7 linked regions of the Sus scrofa genome follow. The protein of the gene in region 7 purifies or fractionates together with the protein of the main gene of each other region. This does not show direct contact. Links are inferred from orthologs where the notes say so. Each region holds a gene or a part of one and is shown on either strand. Other genes may lie near its edges. The genes, in order: PRPF8, PNN, USP39, RNPS1, SART1, PRPF6 and PRPF4B.

Region 1 (3,500 bases), on a different chromosome or scaffold from region 7:
ACCAGATAATCTGGTTGGAGAAGAGTTCACCATAGTTCTGAGAGGAGAGATAGGGCTCAGTGGGCTCAGAAGAATAGAGCTGCAACCCCTTACGGATCCGTTCCCGTAACACATACAAGGCAGGGTTTGCCTTCATGATTTTGGCCATGGCCTGCTGGATGAGAGGCTTGCTGCCAGGGAACCAGTTTCCATAGGCACTGTGAGGGTGGACAAGGCAAGAAATGTTAAGACCAGGCCAGCAGTCCCAGGAACAAGGCAAATCGCGACTCTATAGTGAAAGAAAAGACTGCTGGCCAGGCTGACTGCTCATTACACGCAGTCAGTGACCTAGAGGAGAAAAGAGCCAAATCTCATCTCACCTGGACAAACTTAAAACATGTGTATGTATTAAAGTATGAGGCTGACGGATACATGCTCCTCAGCCCCAACTTACCTGTGCAGGTTATAGGCCAGGTCAATGGCAATGAGCACGCCCGTGGGTGAAGGGTAGATACTCATATTGTCTGTGGTGTAGTCTAAGAACTTGGCCCGGGCGTAGCGCTCAATGTCATGAGAATCATAGTCCCCCCAGCGCAACTGGATGTCAATCCAATACTTCTGAGTGGTGGTGCTGTCCATCACATCCCTGAGGGCGGAGAGGGGTCAGAAGCGTAGGCTTCCAGGCAGACACAAGCACAGCCAATGTCCCCAGAACCGCGAGAACTCTCAATCACTACATCTGCATCTCAAAACCTACCCCTCTGCCTGTTCCAGATCAATAAGACCCATGAGAGAATCAGCAGACGTGGCTGAGGATGATGGCAAGATCCAGGGGCAGCACTGGCTCCAAGTTAGACAGCCAGGGACAATTCCTCAAGTACGCTAGGAGAACAGTAAAACTAAGGTTCTTGGATGCCTGCGGCTGGGTCAAAGGGCACTTACTTGGAGTCTGCCAACAACGAGGGCCGGGAGACATTCCACTTGTAGGAGGCAAAGAGCAGGATATCTGCACAGGAAGAGTTCATCTTATAGGACTTTCGGGGGTGGATTGTCTCCTTCTGTACCGTCTCGATTTCCAGTGCATCCAGTTCCTGATCAAACACCTGGAGGCCAAGGTGGAAAGGTTACAACGTTTATGGAAGCCCACTTACAGAAGCTAAGATAATGTGACCCCTGGTACCACAAGAGAAGTTTCATCCTTGGAGCTTCAAGGGTGCATTCCCCATACTCCAAAGCGAAAGCTGACTTGAGTTTTTTTTTTTTTTTTTGTCTTTTTGTTGTTATTGTTGTTGTTGCTATTTCTTGGGCCGCTCCCGCGGCATATGGAGGTTCCCAGGCTAGGGGTTGAATCGGAGCTGTAGCCACCAGCCTATGCCAGAGCCACAGCAACGCGGGATCCGAGCCGCGTCTGCAACCTACACCACAGCTCACGGCAACACCGGATCATTAACCCACGGAGCAAGGGCAGGGACCGAACCCACAACCTCATGGTTCCTAGTCGGATTCGTTAACCACTGCGCCACGACGGGAACTCCTGACTTGAGTTTTTGTGGCATCCTCCACCCTCAATTCCAGCCTACCTGACACAAGTCCATAACGATGCTCTCGTGGATCTTCTGCCACAAGTGAGCTCGGAAGATCTGGATGAGGGAGATCTTCAGGGTGGGGATCTTGCCATGCATGAAGATGCCCGTCAGGTCCAGCTGCACCTGAAAGCCTACGTACACCTGACAGGAAAACCAGAGTGACACTAGAGGCCAAGGGACTGTGGGTCTCAGGACATAACCAAGGAAGAAGAAATTCTTGTTTCCAGCTGCCCATCTCCCATGTCTACTGACCACACCACACTCACATTGGCTCGGTTGATGGTGGGGGACCACCAGAGGGTGAATCTACGATTGGGAATCTGGTTCAATCCAGATCGCTGAGCGTTGGTTAGCTTCTTCCACTTCATAGACTCCTCGAAACCACTGGCCTTCTCCCTGGAAAGCAGAACAACAAGGTAGTCACGTCCTGCCACCCCCCAGAACACTGCCCTCCTCCCGGGCTGGCTGACTGGGAAACACCACAGCAGAAACCAAAGGCACAGAAGGCATTGAGCTCAGAGGGGTGTGACATAGGAGAGGTCGCTCTAAGGGGACAACAGACTCCTTACCAGAAAAGCCCTTCCCAGGTAGGGAAGTACGTGCCCTTGAAGAGAGTGTGTTCCAGGATGCCCTCCACACCACCCAGGGCCTGGATCATGTCTGTACGGTAGTTGTTCAGGTTCCAGAGCTTCCCGTCATGCCGCTGGTGTGTCCACCAAAAAGGGTTCTGCTTCAAAACCTACATGGCAAGGCAGGTACGGTCAAGCTTCTGGGTGCTCACTGCCCTAGGTTCCTGGCATGGCCACAGATTCTTTTTTTCTTTCTTTTTAGGGCTGCACTTGCACCATACGGAAATTCCCTGGGTAGGCACTGAATTGGAGCTGCAGCTGCTGACCAACCCCACAGCCGCAGCCACACCAGATCCAAGCCACACCTGTGACCTATACCTCACGGCCACCGATTCTAGTTCAGGGAAACTCTCTCCATCATCCCCTTCACGTACCTGGTACTGCTTAAAGTCAGTACGAACACGCCAGCCCTTATCATAAGCCAGCGTGTGCCGGTCCTTCTGGAAGAGGGTGTTGATTCGAGGAATACCACGATCCCATGAATCTTCTAGATCTTCTAAGGTCAGTCGTCTGCCAAGGAGAAAAGACCAAACGTATGCTTGTATGAAGAGTTTAGCATTTCTCCCTCGCCAAGGATAAAGAGGGTCACACACAGGACCTACTTCCAATTTTTTTGGTTTGTTTTTCTTTTTCGAACACACGCACAGCATATGGAAGTTTCCAGGCCAGTGAACACATCTGAGTTGCAGGTGCAACCTACACCACAGCTGCGGCAATACCAGATCCTTAACCCACTGCACTGGGCCAGGGATCAAACCCGTGCCACCACAGAGACAACACTGGATCATCAACCCACTGCACTACAGTGGGGACTCCCTAAAACCTACTTCCTTGACTCCAGAAAAATATGACATGCTGGATGGAGTTCCTGTCGTGTCTCAGAGGAAACAAATCTGACTAGTATCCATGAGGATGTGGGTTCGATCCCTGCCTGCTCAGTGGGTAAAGGATCGGTTGTTGCCATGAGCTGTGGTGTAGACCAGCAGCTACAACTCCAATTCGACCCCTAGCCTAGGAAACTCCATATGCTGCAGGTGAGGCCCTAGAAAGACCAAAAAAAAAAAAAAAAAAAAGAGAGAGAGACATTCTCTGACCTCCACACGGGGCTCAACAGTCACCCTCCCCAAACAGGACTGCTATGCCCTCCTGGATGCCCACCTGTTCTGAGCAATGGCCTCTTGTCTCTTGAGTGCATACTCAGCCCAGACCCGCTGAGAATCAATGAACTCACTCTCCCATGGCTGTATGTAGCGATACAAGTTGGGAATCAACTGGTCTTCTTCATGGCTCATTCCTGAACGAAAGT
Region 2 (4,064 bases), on a different chromosome or scaffold from region 7:
AAATGTAGTAAGGTGAAAAGGCTATATTCATCCTCTATGAAGTTCTTTTAATCTCAATTACCCTCTTAACATCGTCATCCTCTGGGTCGCTTTCTTGGCGTGATTCTCTCCGAGTCCGACGCTCCCCGCCCAGCCTGACAAAGGAAAGAGAATTTAGAAGGAGCAATAAAAACTTTGATCTCTTTTACCTCTCAAGATGGTTAAGTTTTTGTAGTAAAAGACAGAAAAATAGTACAAATTGAGTATTTTCCCAATCTTATTCTTCTCATGACCTTTGTTAAAACTGCTGTTATTGTTAGTGAAAAGTTGAGTTTTAAGTGATATTGGCTGTCTCAGTTCCATCAGATACCAAGGGAACAGACTCGGGAAAGGGTATACTACTCAATTCTAATAGAGCCCTTACACAACAATATTTAATAAATATTTATGCTACCTCAGAAAGTGAAACATACAAGTTTGCTTTCAGAATCTTTTCATTCAACATACCTACTGACTGCCCCTTCAAGGTCTCTCTGTTTGGCTGGGGGTCCTCCTCCACTATCTGAGAATCCACGCCTGCAATATAAATGTCCAACATTATAAACACGTAAATGTATTTATATGAGAGAGTATTTCCATTTAGGGAACAGAATTTAGTTACAAATTAAAAAAAACAAAAACAAAAACCCTCCTAATTAAAGTAACCTTAGGGGCTCTTCTCCCCCTTCCCAACAACCCTGGGAGCTGTTTGCTTTATTTTTTTTATTTGTTTTGCTTTTTGGGCTGCACCTAGAGCATATGGAGGTTCCCAGGCTAGGGGCTGAATGGGAGCTACAGCTGCTGGCCTAAGCCACAGCCACAGCAACATCAGATCTGAGCTGTATCTGCGACCCATACCACAGCTCATGGTTCCTTAACCCACTGAGCAAGGCCAGAGATGGAACCTTCAACCTCATGGTTTCTAGTCAGATTCGTTTTTGCTGTGCTACGACAGGAACTGCTATTTACTTTCCTTTAATAAAGACTCTGCTGGAGTTCCCATTGTGGTGAAGTGGTTAACGAATCTGACTAGGAACCATGAGGTTGCAGGTTTGATCCCTGGCCTTGCTCAGTGGGTTAAGGATCCAGCGTTGCAGTAAGCTGTGGTGTAGGTCACAGACTCGGCTTGGATCCCACGTTGCTATGGCTCTGGTGTAGGCCAGTGGCTATAGCTCTGATTAGACCCCTAGCCTGGGTACCTCTATATGCCTCAGCAGCGGCCCAAGAAATGGCAAAAAGACCAAAAAAAAACAAAAACAAAAACCCAAAAAACTTTGCTTGCTTAAAAATAAATAAATAAATAAAGTAATCTTAAATGGTCATTTATCCCCAAATGCTTTTATAGCGCTTCTTTTACAACTATGGGAATAGGAGTTCCTGTTGTGGCACTGCGGCTGCGAGTCTGACTGGGAATCAATAGGTTGCGGGTTCGATCCCTGGCCTCGTTCAGTGGGTTGGGGACCTGACGTTGCTGTGAGCTGTGGTGTGGGTCGCAGGTGCAGCTTGGATCTGATGTGGCTGTGGTGTAGGCTGGCAGCTGTGGCTCCAATTGGACCCCTAGCCTGGGAACCTCCATATGCCATGGGTATGGACCTGAAAAGAAAAAAAAAAAAACAAAAAACAAAAAAAAAAAAACAAAAACCTATGGGAATAAATTGTTTGCACATAACTGGTACAGTCACTTCAATCTCTAGTTTGGAGTGTAAAGTTCCTGGATAACTATACAGAAAACTACATACAGCTCATCACATCTTCAAACTACGGAAATATCTCTAACGTTGACTCTACCACAAAATTTGTTTAAACCGATGCCTTAATTTAGTTAGTATAGTAAGTACCAACAGTCTTAACATGTGAATTAAATCCTAAGGAAATCTTACCTCAGCAATAAACTACCACGTCCTCTACCTCCACCAGGACCAGACAGGGCCAGCAATCTGGCTTGGATGGGCCTACAAAATATTTACAAATCAGTACAAAAATCGTATCTAACAGCACCAAACACCTTAAGGATGAGGTTCATCATCAAAAGAAAATAACCAGGAACGTTCTAATCTGACGGTTTCAAATCCACGTGTTTCAAACAGGACAGGAAGTACTGCATTAACTTCCTTGTTTTTCCAAGATCAGTACCACCGAAATTGTATTTACCTCGCTGCCAGTACACATTAACAAGCTGGGGTCAGGCCCGAATTTCGCCACCCCAGAGGAAGTTGCATGAAGCGGGGGACAGCGTCCCGGGAGGGTCTCCGGACCAGTGCCGAGTCAGGCGGCCCCAGGAGGAGAAAGGCTTTGTGCTGCAGTTCCGGGCCTACAGGGCCGAGGGCGGGAATCGGCAGTCCCGGCCTTCCCTCAGGACAGGAAACCATTCCGACGCACCCCGGCCCCGCTCTCGCTCCTCACACCTGAGCCCCAGGACTTAGGGTGGCGGTCTCGGAAACTCCCACCTCACGGAGGACGGGATTCTACTGCTGCCCCGGGAACAGGCCTCGATGTTCCAGCCTTCTCAGGGCTGACCGCTCTCCCCGCCCCCAATTCACCCCGGCTTCACGACTGCATTTCGGAGACGGCAATTTCCTATCCGCCCTTTACCTCACGTCATTCGGATCCCGCCCGGTGAGCTTGCGAATATTCTCATCTACGTTCTTTAGGCTCTCTTTGGCCTTTTCTAGCTGCTCCTGCAAAGTTCTCACTGCGACCGCCATCTTCTCCCTGCGGCAGGCTTCGAGACTGCTCTACAGGCCGCGCCTGGCTGTGTCGCGCCGCGAAACGCGAGAGGACTGACAGCTGGCCTCAGCCAATGACAATAGGAGTTGTATTTCGGCCTTAACCATTCAGCAACCGGAAGGGGGAGAAGCTGCCGGCCCTTGAGACTCCGGGCCAATGAAAAGTCGACCAGGCGGTTGTCTCCCTCTCCAGTTAGCCGCGGGTGGCTGGGCTCCGCTTCTAGCGCAGAGTCGGGGCGGGTTTGAGAGTCCCTAGGTCCTCCGAGACGTGCGCTTGCGGCCGTGCTCGTTTGGCCAGGAGAGCGGAGCTTTCTAGCCCTTTTAACCCGTATATGACGTGCCTTTTTTCATTTTACCACCTAATCGCATTAGAGTAGAGCGGAAGCGAGTCTATTTTCCCATCTTCCCCGGTAAATGATTTTCTAAGGACAGGGTGCGGCCATTCTGTTGGTGCGCATGCCCAGAGAGGGGGTGGGCGGGTCGGCTCCCTTAATGAGGTTAAACCGTAAAGAGCACCGCAAAGCAAAGAATGAAGACGGAAAGATTATTAATCGTAATAGATAACATTTACTTTGTTCTCTACACCGTGAAACACTTTATGTGCCTTGTCCCCCACAAACCAAAAGCTTAAATAAAATCTCTGTTATTACTGATACGGAAGTTGAGTCTGGAGATACTGTAATTGTCCCTAGGTCATGCCGGCCTGGGGTCTTCCTATGATCAGACCCTGGGCAAGGATGTACTACAAGAAAAAAGCGATGGCGAGGCAGGCATTAGCTTCTACACCCGGCCTAATGCTCGTTGGTTTAAGACAGGGTCCGGGAGAGTAGCCCTATTGTTTGTGTCCTCCACCTTCTGGTTCTGCTTTACCCCTATTGCTGACCTGAGAACCGGTTTTGTTCCAGAAATATATTTGAAAACTGCATCTCAGAAAGCATTTTCGGGAGTTCCCGTGGTGGCGCAGTGGTTAATGAATCTGACTAGGAACCATGAGGTTGCGGGTTCGATCCCTGCCCTTGCTCAATGGGTTAAGGATCTGGCATTGCCGGGAGCTGTGGTGTAGGTTGCAGACCCGGCTCAGATCCCGCGTTGCTGTGGCTCTGGTGTAGGCCGGTGGCTACAGCTCCGATTAAACCCCTAGCCTGGGAACCTCCAGATGCCGCAGGAGCGGCCCTAGAAAAGGCAAAAAAAAAAAAAAAAAAAAAAAAAAAAAAAAAAAAAAAAAAAGGAAGAAAGCATTTTCCTACGGAAGCAATGTTATGAATAATCTTTGTGTTCTCATCCTTTATCCATCAGCCAGTGCATCCTTGCACGAAGCAG
Region 3 (3,956 bases), on a different chromosome or scaffold from region 7:
AAACTAAAGCTGCTGTTCACTGTTGTTGGAAATACTATAACTACTTTTATTATTAAGACTAGTACTACCCTTATTAAAACGCAGTCGAGTCAGGTGGCATGTGTAATGTGACCGCTTTGTGGGGAAGGAAGATTGTAAAGAGAAAAAGAAGAACGCCAGAGTGGAGCCCGCGCCCGGCCCCGCGCACCTCGCACCTCCCGCTCAGGCTCCGAGTCCTCGTCGACATCGCGCTCCCGCTTCACTCTCACGGCTGGGATTACTGGAGCCGGGGCCTCGCGCGCGCTCGCCGGCTCAACCTCCCGCTTCACGCGCACCGGGCTGCTCCGGGAGCTCGGCGCCTCGGTTTCCCGCTCCCGATCTCGCTCCCGCTTGACGCGAGCCGAGCTGCTCCGCGACTCGGACTCGCGCTTCCCGCGGGTCGAACCACGAGACTCCCGTTTGGACCGGCCGGACATCGCCACTACCGGCCCAGTTGCCCGGCGCAGACTCCGAGCGAGACGGAGCGCGGGGCAAGCAGCCAATCAGAAACGGCGCTGTTTACAGACTCTACGACTCGCCGATAGGGACAAATTACGCCGCAAAGAAGTACTGCGCCTCTTGTGAGTTTGGGGGGTGCTGTGGCCCTCCCAGAGACAGACGGGGGCCGGGGGCCGGAGAGCTACGGCCACTTTACCCATGATTTCTCTAAAAAAGACAAGAACTTTTTACTAGCTGCGGAATTTCCGGAAGCTGTCATTGGGCCCCAGGCTTCTTCAAGATACTTTGTGCCCTGCAACCAGAATTGGAAGGTCGTCTCCAGTTTCCGTGTCTCAGAGACTGACACCGAACCAGGATACAGTGGAGCGACCCCGAGGCTCTAATTCCACATTTAGAGGATTGTTTTTGGTATCACAGGAAAATGCAAACGACGATGAGATGAGGGAGACAAGTGACGCTGATAAAGCTCAAGCTTCAAGGCCTGAGACTTCCACGACCCCTTCCGCGACCACGAACTACTTTGTTTATATAGTTCTACTGAGTTGTGACTGACCTTCAATAAATTGCACGTTTGAAATGTGTAATTTGGGAAGTTCCCGTGTGGCTCAGCGGTTAACGAACCCGACTAGCATCCATGAGGACGGGGGTTCGATCCCTGGCTTTGCTTAGCGGGTTAAGGATCCGGCGTTGCCCTGAGCTGTGGTGTAGGTCGCAGACACTGCTCGGATCCCTCGTTGCTGTGGCTGTGGTGAAGGCCGACGGCTACAGCTCCCATTTGACCCCTATCCTGGGAGCCTCCATGTACTGCGTGTGCAGCCCTAAAAAGACAAGGGGTTCCCGTCCGGGCTCAGTGGTTAACGAATACGACCAGGAACCATGAGGTTGTGGGTTCGATCCCTGGCCTTGTTCAGTGGGTTAAGGATCCGGTGTTGCCGTGAGCTGTGGTGTGGGCCGCAGATGCAGCTTGGATCCCGCGTTGCTGTGGCTCTGGCGTAGGCCGGCAGCTGCAGCTCCAATTCGACCCCTAGTGGGAACCTCCATATGCAGCAGGATCGGCCCAAGAAATGGAAAAAAATAAATAAATAAAAAATAAAATAAAATAAAAAAGACAAATGAAACGAGTGTGCAATTTGGAATTCCGGGTGTGGTTTAGCAGGCTAAGAACCCGACACTGTCCGTGAGGATGCAGACTTGATCCCTGGCCTCCCTCAGTGGGTTAAGGATACAGCGTTGTCCCAAGCTGAGTTGTAGGTCACAGATGATGTGTGGAGGATCGGTGTGGATGTTGCATGGGCTGGCAGCTGCAGCTCCAATTTGACGTGCATATGGAACTTCCATATGCTGCAGGTGCAGCAGAAAAAAAATAAATACATAAGTTAGTCTGCTTGAATATCAATGGAGGTACATATACAGTCCAAAACCAAAGAGATAATGAACTTAACCACCAGCCACCAAGTGTTCTGCCCCCACCATTGACGTGCTTTCAGTGCACTCACTTTCTGTTTTTGTTTTTGTCCTTGTTGTTGGCCAGCTCTGGCATATGGAAGTTCCCAGGCCATAAATGGAACCCCCTACACATTAGCGACCAGAGCAGCTGTGGTAACAATGCCAGATCCTTAACCCACTGAGCCACAAGGGAGCTCCAGATCAGTGCACTTTCTAGAGTTTATCTAAATGGAAACACAGAACCAGTCTTTTTACCCCTGGCCTCGTTCACTCGCATATTTATTTTGAGATTCATCCACGCTGTTGAATGTGTAACAGCTCGTTATTTTTGACTGCTCAGCGATATTCCATCGTGTGGATGTATCAATCCATCCCTGTTCTAATCTTTTGTCTCTTTTTAAAGAGGATTCAAAAATGACACAGGCTCAGACCCCTGAAAAGCTCTAGATCCTCTCACGGAGAGAGTTAAGACGTCAGACCAGTGGGCGCTGGGTGGGCTGGAAGGGGGCATCCCCGCCACCGGTGGCGAAGGGGCCGAGGGGCCCGGTGCGGGCAGGGGGGTGGGCTGAGCAACGGGGGCGCCGCAGTTTGCCCTTCCGGGCACTGGCCTCCTCACGACCTCGCAGATCACGAGTAAGATGAGACGATCACGCAGCTGATGATGGAGTTTTCGCAGCATCTCATCACGGGAAAAAAAGACGAGAAGGCTCCACACAAATCACGGAGTGCTGTGATGGGTGCTTTGTATTTTTCTGAATTTTCTGGTGCATCAGCAGTAAGCCTAAATCCTGCTTTCTTATTGATAACGTCACAAAAAAGGCAAGGCCCCGCCGGGGGAATGGAAGTCGCGCACGTCCCATTCCCAGCACCACTCCACCAGCCCAGCTCACGCCTGGAACTCCGCGCGTGGTGACGCTCGGCCCGGTCGGCCGGTTCCCCGCCGACGTCAGGGTGCGGAGCCGGAAGTCGAGCGACGGGTGGCGCGGAGTTCTGCCTGCTGGAGGGCTGCCGTTGGAGCCGTTGAGGCGGAGGCGGCGCAGCTCCGCGCACAGAGCTCCAGATGGAATCGGCGCCGGGGCCCGGACCCGGCCTCTGCTACAAGCCGGGCGGGCGGCTGGACATGAGCCACGGCTTCGTCCACCACATTCGACGGAACCAGCTCGCCCGGTACCTCCCCGCCCCGCGCCACCGGCGCCACCCCTGGCCTGGCCTGGCCCGGCCGTCCCTGACTCCCGCTCGGCTCCCCGCAGGGACGACTACGACAAGAAGGTAAAGCAGGCGGCCAAGGAGAAGGTGAGGAGGCGGCACACGCCCGCGCCCACTCGGCCCCGCAAGCCGGACCTGCAGGTGTATCTGCCGCGACACCGAGGTGAGGCCGCCTGCCTCTAGCCCTCTGCCTGAACGCACTCTTCCTTTCTATATGGCAAAAAACAAACAACGAAAAAAAGAAACACACTCCTTAACCCCCAAGGCTCAGTTCATCTCGTCCCTTCCCGGAACTTCCGCCTCGACGCTCTCCAGCTGCCTCTCAGTGGTTCTCCCGGCAGAACAGGGACCCTCAAGACTAGTTAAGCAACACTATTACTGGACATACCTGGGAAGCGGCAGGAAGTTGTCTGCTGGTTTGCCCCCACTATACTGAATTCTCATATTCCCACCATCTAACAGAAAAAAAAAGGTTTGGCACTGTTCTAGACGACCAGGACATACCTGTGACATGAAGCCCAAACCCAGTTAATGACCTTCCCCCTAGCTTCCCACCCCCAGTTTCTCTGCCCTCTAGAGAGAGTTAAACCTACACCGCTAAATTTGTCGAGCCATCCTTAAAGTGTTTTTAGGTGTTAGGTACATCAATTCGTTTAGTTTCAAGAGGATCTCATAAAATGGGAATTTTCACGGGTTTCACAGTCAGGAAAACAGGTACAAACAAAGAGATTGAGTAACTTGCCTGAGATCTCTGAGAAGTAAATGGTAGAGCCTGGCCTGAACCCAGACAGATCCCTATCCACTTCTCTACTATTCTCCAATACTGT
Region 4 (3,500 bases), on a different chromosome or scaffold from region 7:
CTGCTGGCTCTGCCACTAAACTGACTCCCAGGAACTAGAAACGTGGGATCTTTCTAGCCAGAAAACCATCTTTCCAGGCACATCCCCAAGCCTGCCCCTGAGTGAGAGCCTTCGTTCCTACCCATCCCCCTTTGGCTAGACAACTGATGAAAGTGAGCTGGATGGGACATAAGTCTCAGGGGCAGAGCTTCCGTGGCTCCGCTTATCGGGAGGAGTTGGAGCTGGAGCGGCTCCTGTGGCGGCGGCGGCCAGGGGAGCGGGATCGTCGGCGCACAGGGGACCTGCGCCTGGGGGACCGCGACCTGTGGGAAAAGGAGAAACCACATCAGCCACAAGCACACAGGCCAAGGAGCAGCTCTGAATTTAGGATGGCAGGGAACGCAGCCCCGCTCAGAGCAACTCTATACAATTTCATAGTCCAGCACCAAGTCAGGACAGCTCCCTCCGGGTGACACTGACAGCACCCCTAGGAGAGAAAGGAAGGTTCTGGAGACCAAAGGCACAAGCGGCAGGCTTCCTAGAGAGGTAGGCTGAACGCGGGCCTCTCCGCTGCTCCTCTGTTCCTTCCGGTTTTCTCACGGAGCAGGGGGAGGGTCACCCCCAGCCCCAGTTCCTCTATCAGGCAGCTGCTCTTCCTTTTCTCAGCTGGAAAGAACACGATGGACCCCGGGAGCCACAGATGCTGCGTTCCCCACGGAGGTCCCCAAACCACTGCCCTCCGTATTAAAGAAATAAACCAAAACTGACCCTCGTCAGTCCTCAGAGACAACAGCGACTTACCTTCTCCTCATCCGTGGGGGTGACCTGCGCCACATAGGAGGTGGTGGCAGCATTCTCCTGGGAGGGCTGAATCGCCTGGGGGGTGGCCTAGGCCAGGGGGCCAGCACGGCAGTGGCAGTGATCTCCTGGCCATCGATTTGTCCTGTTAAAGAAAAGATAAAACCACAAAATATCTAACAAGCACCTACCCTGGGCAAGGCTCAATGCCAAATGTGAGCAAGAAGGACAGAAGTGGGGGGACGAGGGCAAACGGTTTCATCAAGAAAACAAGGAGGGACTCTGTTGATGCACTGCGTGCTTCCTGGGGAGCGCTATCCAAGTCACACCTAGAGATGCGCAAGCTGGAACATGCCAAGGGAGAGGGCGGAACATGCCAAGGGAGAGTTAGAAACTCAACTTGCTTTTTTTCGGTCTTTTCTAGGGCCGCACCCATGGCATGTGAAGGTTCCCAGGCTAGGGGTCGAATCGGGGCTATAGCTGCCGGCCTACACCACAGCCACAGCCACACTGGATCCTTAACCCACTGAGAGAGGCCAGGGATCAAACCTGCATCCTCATGGATGCTAGTCAGATTTGGTTTTGCTGAGCCATGGCGGAAACTCCTCAATTTCCTTCTAAAGAGCAATGGGAAGGGGGCAGGCAAGGAGTGGGGAGACCTATCAGGGGGCTTGGGCAGGAGTGCTGGGGGTGAAATGTGGAAACCTGAGGGTTAACTGGGATGTACAATTTCCAGAACTTGGGTGAAAGATGATCACCACTAGGTTTCTGGATGACCTATGATCTCCTGAGGGGTGGGCCTGAGAGGAAGGGACTTCCTGGGAGGGCAGGTTCAGGAGATGTCAACGTTTATCAAGAGTCTGGAAATAGGAATTCCCTTGTGGCTCAGTGCTAACGAAACTGACTAGTATCCATGAGGACAAGGGTTCGATCCCTGGCCTCACCCAGTGGGTTAAGGATACGGCAGGGCATTGAGATGTGGTGAAGGTCGAAGATGTGGCTTGGATCCCTTGTTGCTGTGGCTGTGGTGTAGGTCGGCAGCTACAGCTCTAGTTCGACCCCTAGCCTGGGAACTTCCATATGTCAGGGGTGCGGCGCGCGCGCACACGCACACACACTCTCTGGAAACAGTGCCTCAGGGAGATGAGTCTGTGTACAGCCAGGACTAAACCACATGCATGAACAAAAAGAACAGTAAGGGAGGCAGCTCTGAATGGAGGCCCAAGGAACCCTGCAGGGCCTCAGGGAGAGAACGAGCAAAGGAAACCAGCAGAGGCCCCAGAATCCCATGGGAGCCTGCACCCTGACCTCACACTCCACAACTCAGTCCAGGAACTGCTCATGCATGGGACAAGCACAGCCCCTTATGCCCCCGAAGGGTGGAGAGCTCTTTCTATCCTCTCAGGCCTACTTTCAACTTCTGAGGTACTAAGGAGAGAACGCAGGAGCCTGGACCGATGTTCAGGATACTTAAACGCAGCCTCTGGCAGCTCCTGGCCCCTGGCCAAAAGCCTGTCCAAATCAGGGATCTCACAGGTGCTGACTATGCAACAGCAGAGACAAAGCCATCCCCTGGCCAGGTAGGTGCCAGTGAAGGCCAAGCCCTTCCACTTTCTTTCTGGAGACAGCATGCAGCCATTCTGTTCAGTGGTGCACAGCACAATATGAGGACACGAAAAACCCTGCCAGAGCTGAAGACAATACGGAATGTTCATAATCACACACATCCTGAACGTGTCCAGGTCTCCTGAAGCGAGAGCTCTGACTCAGTCAAACACAGACTGAATCTCTAAAACAGGTGTGACTCACAAGGTCAGGAGCCGAGGCACAGAGGGATGGACCGCAGCTCAGGCTCAATGCCCAGCACACTCTAGCGAGACTTAAGCAGATCAAAAGAGGGAGCACCTAAGTTTGTGGTATACAAACTCTACCAGAGCCCAAGGGCAATCACCCAAAAAACTGCCAGGCTACCTATCAAGTGTCTAACAGCCTCTGAGGGATTTAGACTCTCCTGTCCCTTGGCCTGGCAGCCCACATGGCACTGCGGGCAATCCCGGGCCGTCAGCTCCAATGGCCTGGGTTACAGCAGCAGCGAGCTGGGCAGAGACAAATCCCACATTCCTTAAAACGCCAACTTGAAGACAAAATGAAAATGGGCAATCTGAAATGAGGCACAAGTGTTCAAATGTCATTAAATTACTGTCCCAATACAAAGTGGCTTTAAATGTCATAAATAATTAAGACACAAGATCTTGGGAAATGGGTAAAATATGCGAATTCAGCAAAATTATTCTAAAAATGCTGAAATGTTAGCAAAACAGAAATTGAGTCAAAGAGGATTGGGGGGGGGGAGTTCCCATTATGGCTCAGTGGAAATGAATCTGACTAGTATTCCTGAGGACACAGATTTGACCCCTGGCTTTACTAGTTAGTTAAGGATCCTGAGATGCAGTGGCTGTGGTGTAGGCCAGCAGCTGTAGCTCTGATTTGACCACTAGCCTGGGAACCCCCACATGCCCTGGGTGTGACCCTAAAAAGCCAAAAAAGGGTGGGGAGGGTGAGAAAACATTCCTGGAGTTCCCCTGTGGTGCAGTGGGTTAAGGTCCTGGTATTGTCGCTGTAGCAGCTTGGTTGCTGCTGTGGCACAGGTTTGATCCCCACCCCAGGAACTTCTACACACTGGAGGAATGGAGGCAAAAAAGAAAAGATTCCCACATAAAAAC
Region 5 (3,929 bases), on a different chromosome or scaffold from region 7:
GTCCCAAACCGAGGGCCTGACCCAGCGCTCAGAAGAGCACTGGCCTCTGCATTAGGCGGAAGGCCTGGCCTGCCCCTACCCAGGAAAATGCCATCCTTCCTCTTGGGTCTGAGTGTCCACTTCTGTAATGCAAATCGTTGGCTAAGATGGTTTCTATGGCACTTCCAAATCCCAAGCAGAAGGCTCTACGATGAGAAAGCTTCACCCACCTGCTGCCCCCAAAGCTGCCCGTCTCAGAAGAAGACACAGTAGCATAAAGGTGACAGTACTCACTTGGTCTCCTCGATGCTGAGTGACGAGGCATCGCCCGAGCTAGTCTTGGAGCTGGCAGCTGGAACAAGAGAGAGAGAGGCTCAGGAGCTGAACACGGGGCCCAGAAGCCACTTCCTTGGCTCCAGCCGCAGGGCTGAAGGTGAGGGTCCCCCATCTGCCCCGAGACATCAGGGAACAGCAGCCTTCCTCCATCCCAGGGGCTCCTCCTACCTGACTCCCAGGCTGTCGACACACCTTCTGATCCAAAAGGTCCAACCTGCCACATCCTTCACTCTGCCACCTCTCCACCTCTGTGTATTCTGTTGTTACAACCTACACGGCCCTCTCTGGCCTCACTCTGATTAGCAAGATGCTATCCAAACGCAACAATCAGAGGCCGGAGTCCTGATTCCTGATCAGCACCAACTCCTCTCCCCTGCACTCCACAGCACGGTCACGGCCATCTCCAGGTCTGTTTTTGCTCACAGGGCAGGGCCCATGTTGGCAGCATATCTGTGTTCTCTCTGTGTAATTCACACAGTCAAAAAATACACTTACTGGCGCCTGTGCTGTGAGGATGCTACAGGAAATAAAGCAGCGCTTCTGAGCTCTTTCACCCACCTCATAAACAGCAAATGTCACACACAGAATGCCACACACAGAAGCTGGACGCCATCGGCTGGAGCTCCTCCCTCCAGCATGGCCACCTCGCAACCTACGTCTTTCCCTCCCACCCCACCTGGACCCTGACTCCCAAGCACCTCCGTGCTCGCTCCAAGGTCGCCAGCCTCCTTGTCTGTAAATCCGATGGATTCTCTGCCACTCTGGTTTTGCCTCATCTCCTGTGGTGTGTGACACCACTGATCACGCCCACAGATCCCATGACATGAGATGCTATGGTATTCTTGCTTTGGGGAACATCCAACCTCCTTTTTTGTACCATCTTGCTCCGCCTGCTACTAAAACGTAGACATTCCTGAGGTTCTGCCCCCGACCCTGGCTTCTCAATCCTCACTCTCTCAAGGGACTTCATTTGCCATTGAACCCTTATGACTCTCAAACTGCTCTGTCCTGCCCAAGCCCTGAGTTTCCCCATGTGCCTCATGCAACACTCCTCAAAACTGAATTCACTGTCTCTCTCCAAAAAATCTGCTTCTCTTCCAAACTCAACTTCCGTCGACAACACTACCACCCACCTGGTCACACCAGCCAAAATCCAAGGACCATCCTCAATTCCTTCTTCTCCTTCCCACTGTCATCCAAGTGCTTAAGCTCTGTCACCTCCTCCTCCAAAACACCTCTCCAATGGGTCAACGACTCTCCATCCCGCTGCTGCTGCCCTGGTGCCAGCCATGGCCAGTCCTTACCTCCTCTATGGGTCTTGACTGCTCTTTACCCAGTTCTCAACACAGTGTTCTCTGTGATAACGTGAATACGACTAACTCGCTCCCCAGCTCGAATTCATGGCTCCCTATTACTTTTGAAACAAAGTTCAAAATTTTTTGTTTTTTGTTTTCTCAGGGCCACACCCTGGCATATGGAGGTTCCCAGGCTAAGGGTCGAATTGGAGCTACAGCTGCCGGCCTACACCACCGCCACAGCCACGCCAGATCCGAGTTGCACCTGTGACCTACACCACAGCTCAAGACAGTGCAGGATCCTTAACCCACTGAGCCAGGCCAGGGGTCGAACCCACAACCTCATGGTTCCTAGTCGGATTCGTTTCCGCTGCGCCAGGACGGGAACGCCAACAAAATTCAATTATCTTAACAGGCTTGCAGGAGCCTCTGTGTTCGGACCCCTGCCTCATGTCTCTGCTATGAGCTCTACATAACCTGCCCAATACCAGGTGTCCTCCTGCCTCTACACACGATGGTACCACTCCATGCGTTCACTCGACACATTTAGCGAGTGCCTGTGATGTGTCAGTTAAGGAAAACAGAGAAAATCTCCACCTTCACGGAGTTTAGCAGAGAAAGCCAACCCTTAATCCCAAATAATCAAAACAAGACCCTTCCAAATGCGCTGACGACGGGCCTGGGGATGGCTGGGCCTGTGGGCTTGGCTTCCATCCCCGAGGCCCTCCACCCTGAGACCCTCCCCATCGCCCCGCCCCCTGCCCAGGCCCCGCCCCTCACCGGCCTCGTAGCCTTCATCTCGCTTCTCCCGCTTCACGCGGCGCTCGGAGGGCTCTGTCTGGCTACGCTCCCGCCCGTGCGTGCTGCTGCGGGCCTCCGCTTCGGCCCCGCGCCGCCCGCTCCCGCGCTCGCTCCCACGCTCCCGGCTCCGCTTTCGTCGTTCGCCACCGCTGCTGCCGCCGCCGCTGCTCCGGTGCTTGTGTTTTTTGTGCTCCCGGTGCCGAGGCGGCTGCTCGGTGGCGCTCCCGGTGCTCGCTCCTGCCGTAGTCCCGGCCGCCTCCTTCTCCCCGCGGTGCTTCTTTGACGACCCCATGGTGGTAGGTCCACCCGAGCCCCGCCGCCGCCGCCGCCGCCGCCACCGCCGCCGCCGAGCCCCGACGGCGCAAAATGGGAACACTTCCGGGTCGGGCCCGGCTGCGCCGTCGCGTTGCCGGAAACCAAGAGCGGCTGCTTCCGTCCTTTGCCTCGGAGCTGCCCCAAAGGCTCATGGGAAGGCTGGGATCGGGCCCGACTGCGCATTCGCGGCCGGCACTGGCCGAGCGGCGGTCTTTGACATAGTGGTCGGATTGCGCGTGCGCTCAAGCTTGAGGGGCGCGTTCGAGTCCGGGGAAGACCGTATCCCAGAATTTGAAGGACCTAGGGCCCATCTAAGCCAGCATGGCCTCCCTGGCTTCCCTCCGCTTGCACACCCTCAGCCACGGGATGCTCACTGCAGCGCCCGCCGCTCCAGCAGAAGTCCTCCTAGTAGACTCCCTGGGGTCGTGGCCGATCAGGTGTAGGAGGACGGAGCACGTTCTGCTCCTGAGACCCTCAGCTCCACAACCCAGCCTCCTCCCAGCCCCCACAACTAATATTGTCTGCAAACGCTGCCTTCCCACGGTCCCTGAATTGGGTTTTTTTAACGTGCGCTTTGACTGCTACGGAGCTCGAGATGGGCCTTTGCATGCCTGTGAACCCCTGAAATCGAACGCAAAATTTAGCACATCGGGGTGTGTGTGTGTGTGTGTGTGTGTGTGTGTGTGTGTGTGTGTGTGTGTGAGAGAGAGAGAGAGAGAGCGCGCTCGCGGGAGCTGCTGCTGCTTTTTTTTTTTCCCTCTTGAGAGGAGCTCTAACTTGAAGTTGCTTGAAGCTAAAATCTCAGTTTACACAGGAATTCTCCTATGGCGCAGCGAGTTAAAGATCTAAAGATCCGGGACTGTCACTGGAGCGACTTGGGTCACTCCTGTGGCTTGGGTTCAATTCCTGACCCAGGAACTCTCGCATGCCACAGGCACAGCCAAATAAACAACAACAACAAAAACTCTGTTCACACAATCTCTCCATCCCTCCTGACACCCCTCACCTCCCAGTTGCCCCATCTGGAGGCCCATCTGTCTGTGATTATGCTCCCCTTTAAAGTTCCGCTTTCCTCCCCCCCAGAACTGGGAGTTCCCAAAGGCAGAAGCCATTCTGTCCTATTCACTCTTGACTTTCTAGGACCCAGCATTTCTAGGGCAAGTTGCCGCTGTTGCTCTTGGAGATGCCATGCTCACACCTCAG
Region 6 (3,500 bases), on a different chromosome or scaffold from region 7:
TGAGTGGCAGCAAATGGGAGGAAGGTGTCCGTCGCCTGGGCCCCATCTGCCTGCAGAGCTCCCTGACCACACACAGCCCCTCCGGGGTCAGCTCCTGTCCACGGGCAGGGGAAGGGCTTTGCAGAGGGCCCGGGACACCGGCGCCCTGGGGCCTCGGCCAGCCCCTCGAGGCACCCCTCACCCACCTGGAAGGCCAGAGCCAGGATGCTCCTTGCTGCAGGCACGTCCCCCGCAAGCCACTTGGACTTGGCACCCATGAGCCACAGCACCTCCGCTTTGGGGCAGTGGGCCACCGCCCTCTGCAGCAGGGCCTCCAGGGACTCCCTGCGAGACAGAGGGCTCGGTCACCAGCAGGGCACGCAGGCCGCCTGCAGCGGGCTGCGGGCACTGAAGAGACAGTTACTGCTTCAAAGTCCGGCGCTGTAAATGATTCACTAGATCTTTACGACGGGGAGAGTGTGGGGAAATCGCCTCTCTCCACAAAGGCTCTAAGCTCAACTACTGAAGAGGGCGCCACAAAGCAGCGCATTGTTCAGTCCGAGCCTGGCGGAGGGCTTCTCAAGAGAGTCTTTCACAGCCGCGAGTCTGGGAGCATGATAACTCCGCGGCCTGGGCGACGGGCCTTTTCATCTCTAACCGCAGATCGGCCAATAAAGATTACGACCCGAGTCTACTCTTTGGCATCAGAGAAACTGTCTTCTGGAAGGAAGTTATCTTAGGTCACTACTGAGCAAGAAGCCCTCCAGCCGGGGGTTCGGGGGGAAGCCCCCAGCCTCAGGTGGCTCCCCAGCCCTGGCACAGACGACCTCCTGGGGCCTCAGCAGCAAGACAGAGTGCAGGCTGACACCAGAGCCAAGGCCCCAGGTCCCGACTGGTCAGCCTCTGAGCGGGCAAGACGCCAAGGGCGCCAGAGATGGGGGAGGGGACGGTCCTGAGGCCACATCCCCCAGGAGGGGCCCTGCTGCAGACTGGAACCTGTGCAGGGTGAAGCAGCAAGGTCATCTCAAAAGGTCCCCAAAGGAGTTAACCCCAAGACACACAGCAGCTGGTGGTGGGGGAGGGAACGGGGCTTCGGCAGCGGGTCTGCAAAGACACGCTCAAGACCAAGCCTGAGCAACGTCACAAAGAAATGGGCTCAGAACTCCCAGCTAAACCCGGGTGGGATCAGCAAGGCCCGGGCACTGGGACGGCCGCAGAGGGCCCGGCAGAGGCTGCCCGCTAACTCCAGATGTTGCAACATCTAATTCAATCAGCAGTTACAGCCAACGAGGCAGACCCAAAAGGTGTTTTCAATTAAAGAATACAACTGAAGAAAATTGTCAAGGACCTCCTCAGAGCACAAAAAGCAGCGCAAGCCCAATCTAGCACGGCTTAAATGAAAAACACGCCTGGGCCTCAATGCCGCACCGCCCACACTGCCGAAGCCAGCGCTGGCACAAACGTGGGGCCTGAGGCTCCAGCCTCGCCCCCGGGACCCTCAGACCACCAGGCGTCCCTGGCTCAGCTGCCGGCACTTGGGAGGAGCCTTTAGTGCCCCGGCTGCTCAACTGTGAAAGAACAGCAACGCTGTCGCAGAAGGTGCCATCAAGATAGCCCCGGCTGCAGTGTTCCAAATGCCACAGGAGCTTCTGCCCCTCGCCAGATGGCTGGCCCTCGAATCGGGCCCTCGCCCACCCGTGGGAAGGTGGGGCCTAAACCCCGCACCCGGCACCCTGGCGTCTCGGGGGACGCTCAGGGCAGCAGGCGTACCTGGTGCCGTGGTTCTTCTCAAAGTAGGCAGCTCGCAGCCACACGCTCTTCTTGCTGGGGAAGACCTGCAGCGCGTAGGCGTAGATGGCTCGGGCGCACTCCAGGGCGTTGTGGGCCACACACTACGTACGGCAGAGAGAGGAGGGCGTGAGGGGCCCGCCCCCGACCCGGGAGCAGGGCACCCGCCAGAAACCGTGCAGTGGGAAGGTCTCCAGAGGGAAAGCCCAGCAGGACGGGGGCACCAACAGCAAAACGCAAGCAGGAGGGGCTGCGACGAGGCTGCCTGCTGGCCGCAGGGGCACCGGCTGCCCCACAGGCTGGCTCCCATTAAAAAATAAGTGTCGTACGTGTTCTCCATTTAAAAAGTTACGCTCACTGGAAATGTGTAAAACACTAAGGGAAACCAAAAGCCCACCCATCCCAACAGACCTGCCACAAACACTCCCGGGCCTCTAGGCCTCTTCTCCGGCCTCGCGTGATGTCAGCCTCGGTGCGCATCAAGGCGACACAAGAAAGCCAGTTGCTGCCTGCAGCAGTGCCCCCTGGGGGTCAGGACCCCTGGACAATCACAGGAAAAGGCTGGCAGCTGTCCTTACTGAGCCTCACGCAGGGCCGAGACCATGCCTGGCACAGACCTCACGCTGGCAGGTGCTGCCAGCGCTCCTGCACAGGAGGCGGCACAGCTCCAGGCGAATAAGAAGCCGCCAGAAGCAGCAGAACGAGGCTCTGCACGTGTGAACACCCACACAGCCTGGACCAAGAGCAGGTGTCCTGCAGGAGGGCTCCGAGCCACCCAGGGCCACCTGGCAGCCTGGCTGGGCCGTTAGCAAGCCTCCTGATTGCAAGGACATCCAGCTGGAAACAGGCAGGAAGCGGGGAAAAAGGGAGGTCTCCTCCTTCAGACCCGGGTCCCTGACTCAACCACCAGAGGCCGGGAACCCAGTGCAGGTGCGTCCTGACCAGGGGCTCCGGAAGCAGGCAGGACCCCACCTCAGCCGCCCACGAGCCCCCGGTTCCCCCTGTGACTTCCGACAAAGGCCCTGGAGGGCAGTTACAAAAAGGCCCTGGGGCCTATGTGGCCCCATGGGATTAAGTGACCGCTGCCCAGGGTCCAGGGTGTGGGTGTGTGGGCCGGGCCCACCCCCAGGGGGAGCTCTGGAAGAACTCCACGTTTCTAAGCACAAAAGGGCCTCGGTTCTTCCTGCAGAAATACAAGCACAGAAGAGAGTGGTGCCTGCTCCAGGCTAAGTGAAGAGACACAGAAACCAGAGTTTCAAAGGGCTTCAGAGTTCTGTACCCACAGCCCATCCCTGTGGGGTAGCGCCTGCCGTGGCCCCCAGTGCTGTCAACAGTGACGAGGAAGGTAGGATCAGAAGGGCTCAAAGAGTTCCCATTGTGGAGCAGTGGAAACGAGTCCGACTAGTATCCGTGAAGATGCGAGTTCAATCCCTGGCCCTGCTCAGGGGGCTGGGGAGCCAGCATTGTTCTGGCTGTGGTGTAGGCCAGCAGCTGCAGCTCTGATTTGACCCCTAGCTCTGATTTGACTGCTATAGGCCGAGAGTGCGGCCCTAAAAGATAAAAAGGACGGGGGGGGGCCTCAATGACTGGGAGTGGGGGCCCTTCCCCCTCTCACTGGAGAGGCTGGGAGCATCTTAGGTCTTTCTTACACTTTTCTGTCTAAAATGTCCCGTAACGAAAAGGCTTAAATCACGAGGGCAGGAATTCGGGCACACTCAGTGTGGTGGAGGCAC
Region 7 (3,500 bases):
CCAAGGAGCGGCTCTTGGCTCTCCTACCAGGGGACAGAGTTCGAGACGGCGACTTGCTCTGCTTAGACCTTCTGTCGTTTACGAGCGGAGACCTGCTTCTTCGTGATTTATCGCGCTGTTTCGGAGACAGACTTCTTCTCTTAGGACTCCGACCAGGTCTCCTACTGGGCGACCTGTTTTCCTTCCCAGAAGAGGCATCTTTAGAGGGAGATTTAACTGGTTTCTTCTCTCTATCAGTTTCAGACCGCTGTGGTTTTCTCTCTTTGGACCGTGACCTTCTGTCTTTGGATTTACCTCGCGCGTCAACTGGGGATCGAGATTTTTTGCCTCGATCCCGACTTCTACTCTCATTTGTAACTGGGGACTTTTTCCTATCTTTTGGCTTACTTTTGTCTTCGATCTTGACCTTGTCGTCGGGGGGAGATCTGGCCTTGCCAATCTTCTCTTGAGAGCGCCTTCGGAGGGCGGGAGACTTCGACTTTCTCGCTTGGTCTTGGGACTTGCTCCTTTTGGAGGGGCTTCTGGACTTTTTCCTCTCCTTCGACTTGCTCCTCGTCTTCTCTTTGACTATCTCGACACCGCCCTTACTCTTCTTTTTCTCAGACCTATGTCTAGTCCGTTCTTTGGATCTGCTTTTGCTTCGCTTTTTTGCGCTATTTTTATTGTCCACAAGTTCAAGTTTCCCCTTGGTGCTCGAAGACCTGGTACTAGGCCTATTCCCATTTCTTGCTTTGTCATGAATCTCCCCCTCTTCTTCAGAGCCAGACTCGTAACCCTGCAAGATGAGCCCCATCCCAGACTGGACCTTTCCTTCCATTAACTCATTGTCAAGTTCGGCTTTAATCAAGGCTCTCTGTTTCTCCAAGTCTTCCAGCAAAGCTAAGTCATCGAGTTTAGTTCTTTTGGCTGGAGACATACCTTCTTTGTCAGACGCATCAATCACCTCTTTTCTTTTGTGTTTCTTATGCTTATGCTTGTGCTTATGCTTTTTATCCTTGTCTTCTTCTGAAGAATGTTTATGTTTCTTATGTTTACTTCTGTGTTTATGTTTCTTTTTCTTGTGACGACTGTGCTTGTTCTGAGACTGGTCTTCTGACACTTCTCCATTTTCTTCATTTACACTCTTTTCCGAATTATCAGCATCTTCCATCCTATAAATGCATCAAACACATGTAAAAGTCACATAATTTATCACGCATTCAGAATCATAAAAAATAACAGTAATGATAAAATACATCTCAATGTAATACATGAAGTTAGTCGCTGAAATGTTTTATTTCAAAAGTATGTGGCAAGAACGGAGCTGAAGAGTGATTCAACCGTAATTTGTTTCTAATGGTTGAACTCAAATACCAAACGTAGTAGAGGAAATACATAATTGGGGAGGTTAACCGTTATACTTAACAGAAAAAGGGAATCCAAGCCAGGCTACAGCAAACTGTCATTAATACTGACTCGGTGAAACAGTCACTCAGGAACTCGGTTGTTACACCAGCACCTCCCACACAGATGTATGGGATTCTGGGAGGACACGGCCGAGACAGGCAGAGCCCAGGAACTGCAACGCTGGGCTGCGGGACGGGCTGTGTGTGATGACACTGCTGTCACACAAAGTGCTCGAGAAGTACTGGCTCTCCATATGTCCCCACGGCAGATGACACTTCACGTTCAAGGAGGTTTGTGGCACTCGCCTAAGGTCACAGGCATATCATGCTGGTCAGAAGACTGGTATTGATTCAACGTCAGAGCTCCTGCACTTGCTCAAAGGTGCTTGTGAACCGTCAGGTCATATCACCCTGGGAGTGAGACCTGACGCCCATCTCCCGCATTCGGAGTAACACCCCAGCCCCGCTGCCCCAGGCCAATAAGACCCCCCCACCCCCACCCCGGGCCCGGGGCTGTCCCTGCGGTCCCCGTGCCCGGAGAGCTCTCCCCAAGTACATGCTGCTGCCTCCTCTGCCTCCCTCTGGTCTGCACTCACGTCACACTTTCTCAAACCGGCCAAGTTTTCCAGACCAAGTCTTTTGAACCGCAACCCCCCACTACATACACTCACTCTCTCTGCTTCATTCTTCTCCAAATTGCCACCACCTCATAGGATGTCGTTGTCTCTCCTGATGATAACATATAAGCCCCACGAGAGCAGTATTTTGATCTGTTCCGCTCACTGCTCTATCCCCGAGGCCTAGAAGATCAGCTAACCCAGAGAAGGCGCTCAAGAAGCATTTGCTGGGTCAAAGAAACGACCTGGACAGATAGACTAACACACAAATGGTATCACTGGCTACCACTGGCTTATGCCAACTCTTCTCAACTCTCTGCTCTTGACGGTAAACATTCTGCTTTTGCTCAGTTATTTCCCCGGTGCACACGCCTACTTCTTGACTGCAATACCCCAGATCGCTGAAACTTAATCACCTCCCCCACAAACATCTGCTCTCTTAACCCTTTTCTAATGCTTCCTATAATTTACAAATCTTCCAAGTAGCTTCAAATCGAAATTCTTAAGCATTTACCAACAGAGAAGTAATGTCTTTTAAAAGAAGACTGAGCTCCTAAAGCTTCTAGAATCAGGATCTACATCACGATGCCCAAGCCCCTGAAGGGTCACTCCGAGAGACCTGTTTCCACCGCAACTTAATGAATGTTAACGCAAGAAACAACGAGCGGGTTACCGACAGGACGCTACTAGCACCTTAGAGCCAGCTCGGTCGGCCCCAGAGCTCTGCCCGCCTCGTGCCAGGCCAAGAGCAGACCTTCAGCCTCTTGCGCTGATCTCTCAAGGCAAATTTCAAAGTCAATAACCACTGAAGTCTGACTAGGTCAACCAGGAAACTTGAACTCAATGAGTCGATGACACCCATGACATGTCACAGACAGTGAACGAGTGTGTGCTCGTCAGGTTCATTAGCAAGAGTTTTCTTCTAAAGCTTGAGGAAAAGGTTGCTTGTTAAGGAATCTAATAGGCTTCTTGGATGGTTCATGTTAACAATAAACACGTATATAAATCCCGCACAGACTCGTTTACGCTTTAACCTTTACACTTTGCAGTCGAACCCTGCACGTTGCCAAGGCTGTGTCTGGCCCGAGCTGGGCTGGGACAGGGCTCACTGAGACCTGAGCAACATCCTTCAAATCTCACTGGGAAACGAAGCTGCATTCAAAATGCAGACAGTGCGCGAGTGTTTGAGGCTATTTAATCAAGTATTTGGTTAAATGGAACGTACAAGTCTCACCCTTCCAACAACCTAGGTCGTCGTGGGGCATACGGCGAGATGTAAGCAGCCATGCGCCAACTTTAAAATAGAGTGACCAACCGCCAGCTGCTAATGTTACTTTAATTTCCTCTTTCAAGTATTTTTTTCAAAGAACATTCCTAATAACATCTTATTCAGGAGGCATTTGATTCATGCTTTGGAGATGGGAGCAATGGTGAACAAAATGAATGCCATTTCTTTTTACAAGAAAAATAGTGAAGCTGTTTCTCTGACAAGTTAAAT

The links.
Region 1: the proteins of PRPF4B (region 7) and PRPF8 purify together in Homo sapiens (affinity purification with mass spectrometry; 4 studies listed by BioGRID and IntAct, with this or other methods). This does not show direct contact. The link is inferred for Sus scrofa from reciprocal best matches to the Homo sapiens genes PRP4K and PRPF8.
Region 2: the proteins of PRPF4B (region 7) and PNN purify together in Homo sapiens (affinity purification with mass spectrometry; 5 studies listed by BioGRID and IntAct, counting the BioPlex papers as one, with this or other methods). This does not show direct contact. The link is inferred for Sus scrofa from reciprocal best matches to the Homo sapiens genes PRP4K and PNN.
Region 3: the proteins of PRPF4B (region 7) and USP39 purify together in Homo sapiens (affinity purification with mass spectrometry; 3 studies listed by BioGRID and IntAct, with this or other methods). This does not show direct contact. The link is inferred for Sus scrofa from reciprocal best matches to the Homo sapiens genes PRP4K and USP39.
Region 4: the proteins of PRPF4B (region 7) and RNPS1 purify together in Homo sapiens (co-immunoprecipitation; 4 studies listed by BioGRID and IntAct, with this or other methods). This does not show direct contact. The link is inferred for Sus scrofa from reciprocal best matches to the Homo sapiens genes PRP4K and RNPS1.
Region 5: the proteins of PRPF4B (region 7) and SART1 purify together in Homo sapiens (affinity purification with mass spectrometry; 3 studies listed by BioGRID and IntAct, with this or other methods). This does not show direct contact. The link is inferred for Sus scrofa from reciprocal best matches to the Homo sapiens genes PRP4K and SART1.
Region 6: the proteins of PRPF4B (region 7) and PRPF6 purify together in Homo sapiens (affinity purification with mass spectrometry; 3 studies listed by BioGRID and IntAct, with this or other methods). This does not show direct contact. The link is inferred for Sus scrofa from reciprocal best matches to the Homo sapiens genes PRP4K and PRPF6.

What each region holds. Positions count from the first base shown.
Region 1 is NC_010454.4:47,867,787-47,871,286, forward strand, and holds part of PRPF8 (pre-mRNA-processing-splicing factor 8), read right to left. Parts: coding exon 3,353-3,500; intron 2,705-3,352; coding exon 2,569-2,704; intron 2,305-2,568; coding exon 2,135-2,304; intron 1,962-2,134; coding exon 1,832-1,961; intron 1,707-1,831; coding exon 1,560-1,706; intron 1,083-1,559; coding exon 922-1,082; intron 626-921; coding exon 434-625; intron 198-433; coding exon 1-197. UniProt on the Homo sapiens protein: Plays a role in pre-mRNA splicing as core component of precatalytic, catalytic and postcatalytic spliceosomal complexes, both of the predominant U2-type spliceosome and the minor U12-type spliceosome.
Region 2 is NC_010443.5:169,724,385-169,728,448, reverse strand, and holds the start of PNN (pinin), read right to left. Parts: upstream 2,801-4,064; 5' UTR 2,724-2,800; coding exon 2,611-2,723; intron 1,971-2,610; coding exon 1,899-1,970; intron 556-1,898; coding exon 487-555; intron 135-486; coding exon 62-134; intron 1-61. UniProt on the Homo sapiens protein: Transcriptional activator binding to the E-box 1 core sequence of the E-cadherin promoter gene; the core-binding sequence is 5'CAGGTG-3'. Capable of reversing CTBP1-mediated transcription repression.
Region 3 is NC_010445.4:59,153,798-59,157,753, forward strand, and holds the start of USP39 (U4/U6.U5 tri-snRNP-associated protein 2), read right to left. Parts: upstream 2,801-3,956; 5' UTR 456-2,800; coding exon 188-455; intron 1-187. Other genes in the region: C3H2orf68 (UPF0561 protein C2orf68 homolog), read left to right, coding at 2,984-3,090, 3,174-3,292.
Region 4 is NC_010445.4:39,745,558-39,749,057, reverse strand, and holds part of RNPS1 (RNA-binding protein with serine-rich domain 1), read right to left. Parts: intron 923-3,500; coding exon 781-922; intron 303-780; coding exon 203-302; 3' UTR 1-202. UniProt on the Homo sapiens protein: Part of pre- and post-splicing multiprotein mRNP complexes. Auxiliary component of the splicing-dependent multiprotein exon junction complex (EJC) deposited at splice junction on mRNAs.
Region 5 is NC_010444.4:6,370,543-6,374,471, forward strand, and holds the start of SART1 (U4/U6.U5 tri-snRNP-associated protein 1), read right to left. Parts: upstream 2,801-3,929; 5' UTR 2,704-2,800; coding exon 2,391-2,703; intron 332-2,390; coding exon 274-331; intron 1-273. UniProt on the Homo sapiens protein: Plays a role in mRNA splicing as a component of the U4/U6-U5 tri-snRNP, one of the building blocks of the spliceosome. May also bind to DNA.
Region 6 is NC_010459.5:62,846,509-62,850,008, reverse strand, and holds part of PRPF6 (pre-mRNA-processing factor 6), read right to left. Parts: intron 1,872-3,500; coding exon 1,750-1,871; intron 325-1,749; coding exon 186-324; intron 1-185. UniProt on the Homo sapiens protein: Involved in pre-mRNA splicing as component of the U4/U6-U5 tri-snRNP complex, one of the building blocks of the spliceosome.
Region 7 is NC_010449.5:2,385,505-2,389,004, reverse strand, and holds part of PRPF4B (serine/threonine-protein kinase PRP4 homolog), read right to left. Parts: intron 1,152-3,500; coding exon 1-1,151. UniProt on the Homo sapiens protein: Serine/threonine kinase involved in spliceosomal assembly as well as mitosis and signaling regulation. Connects chromatin mediated regulation of transcription and pre-mRNA splicing.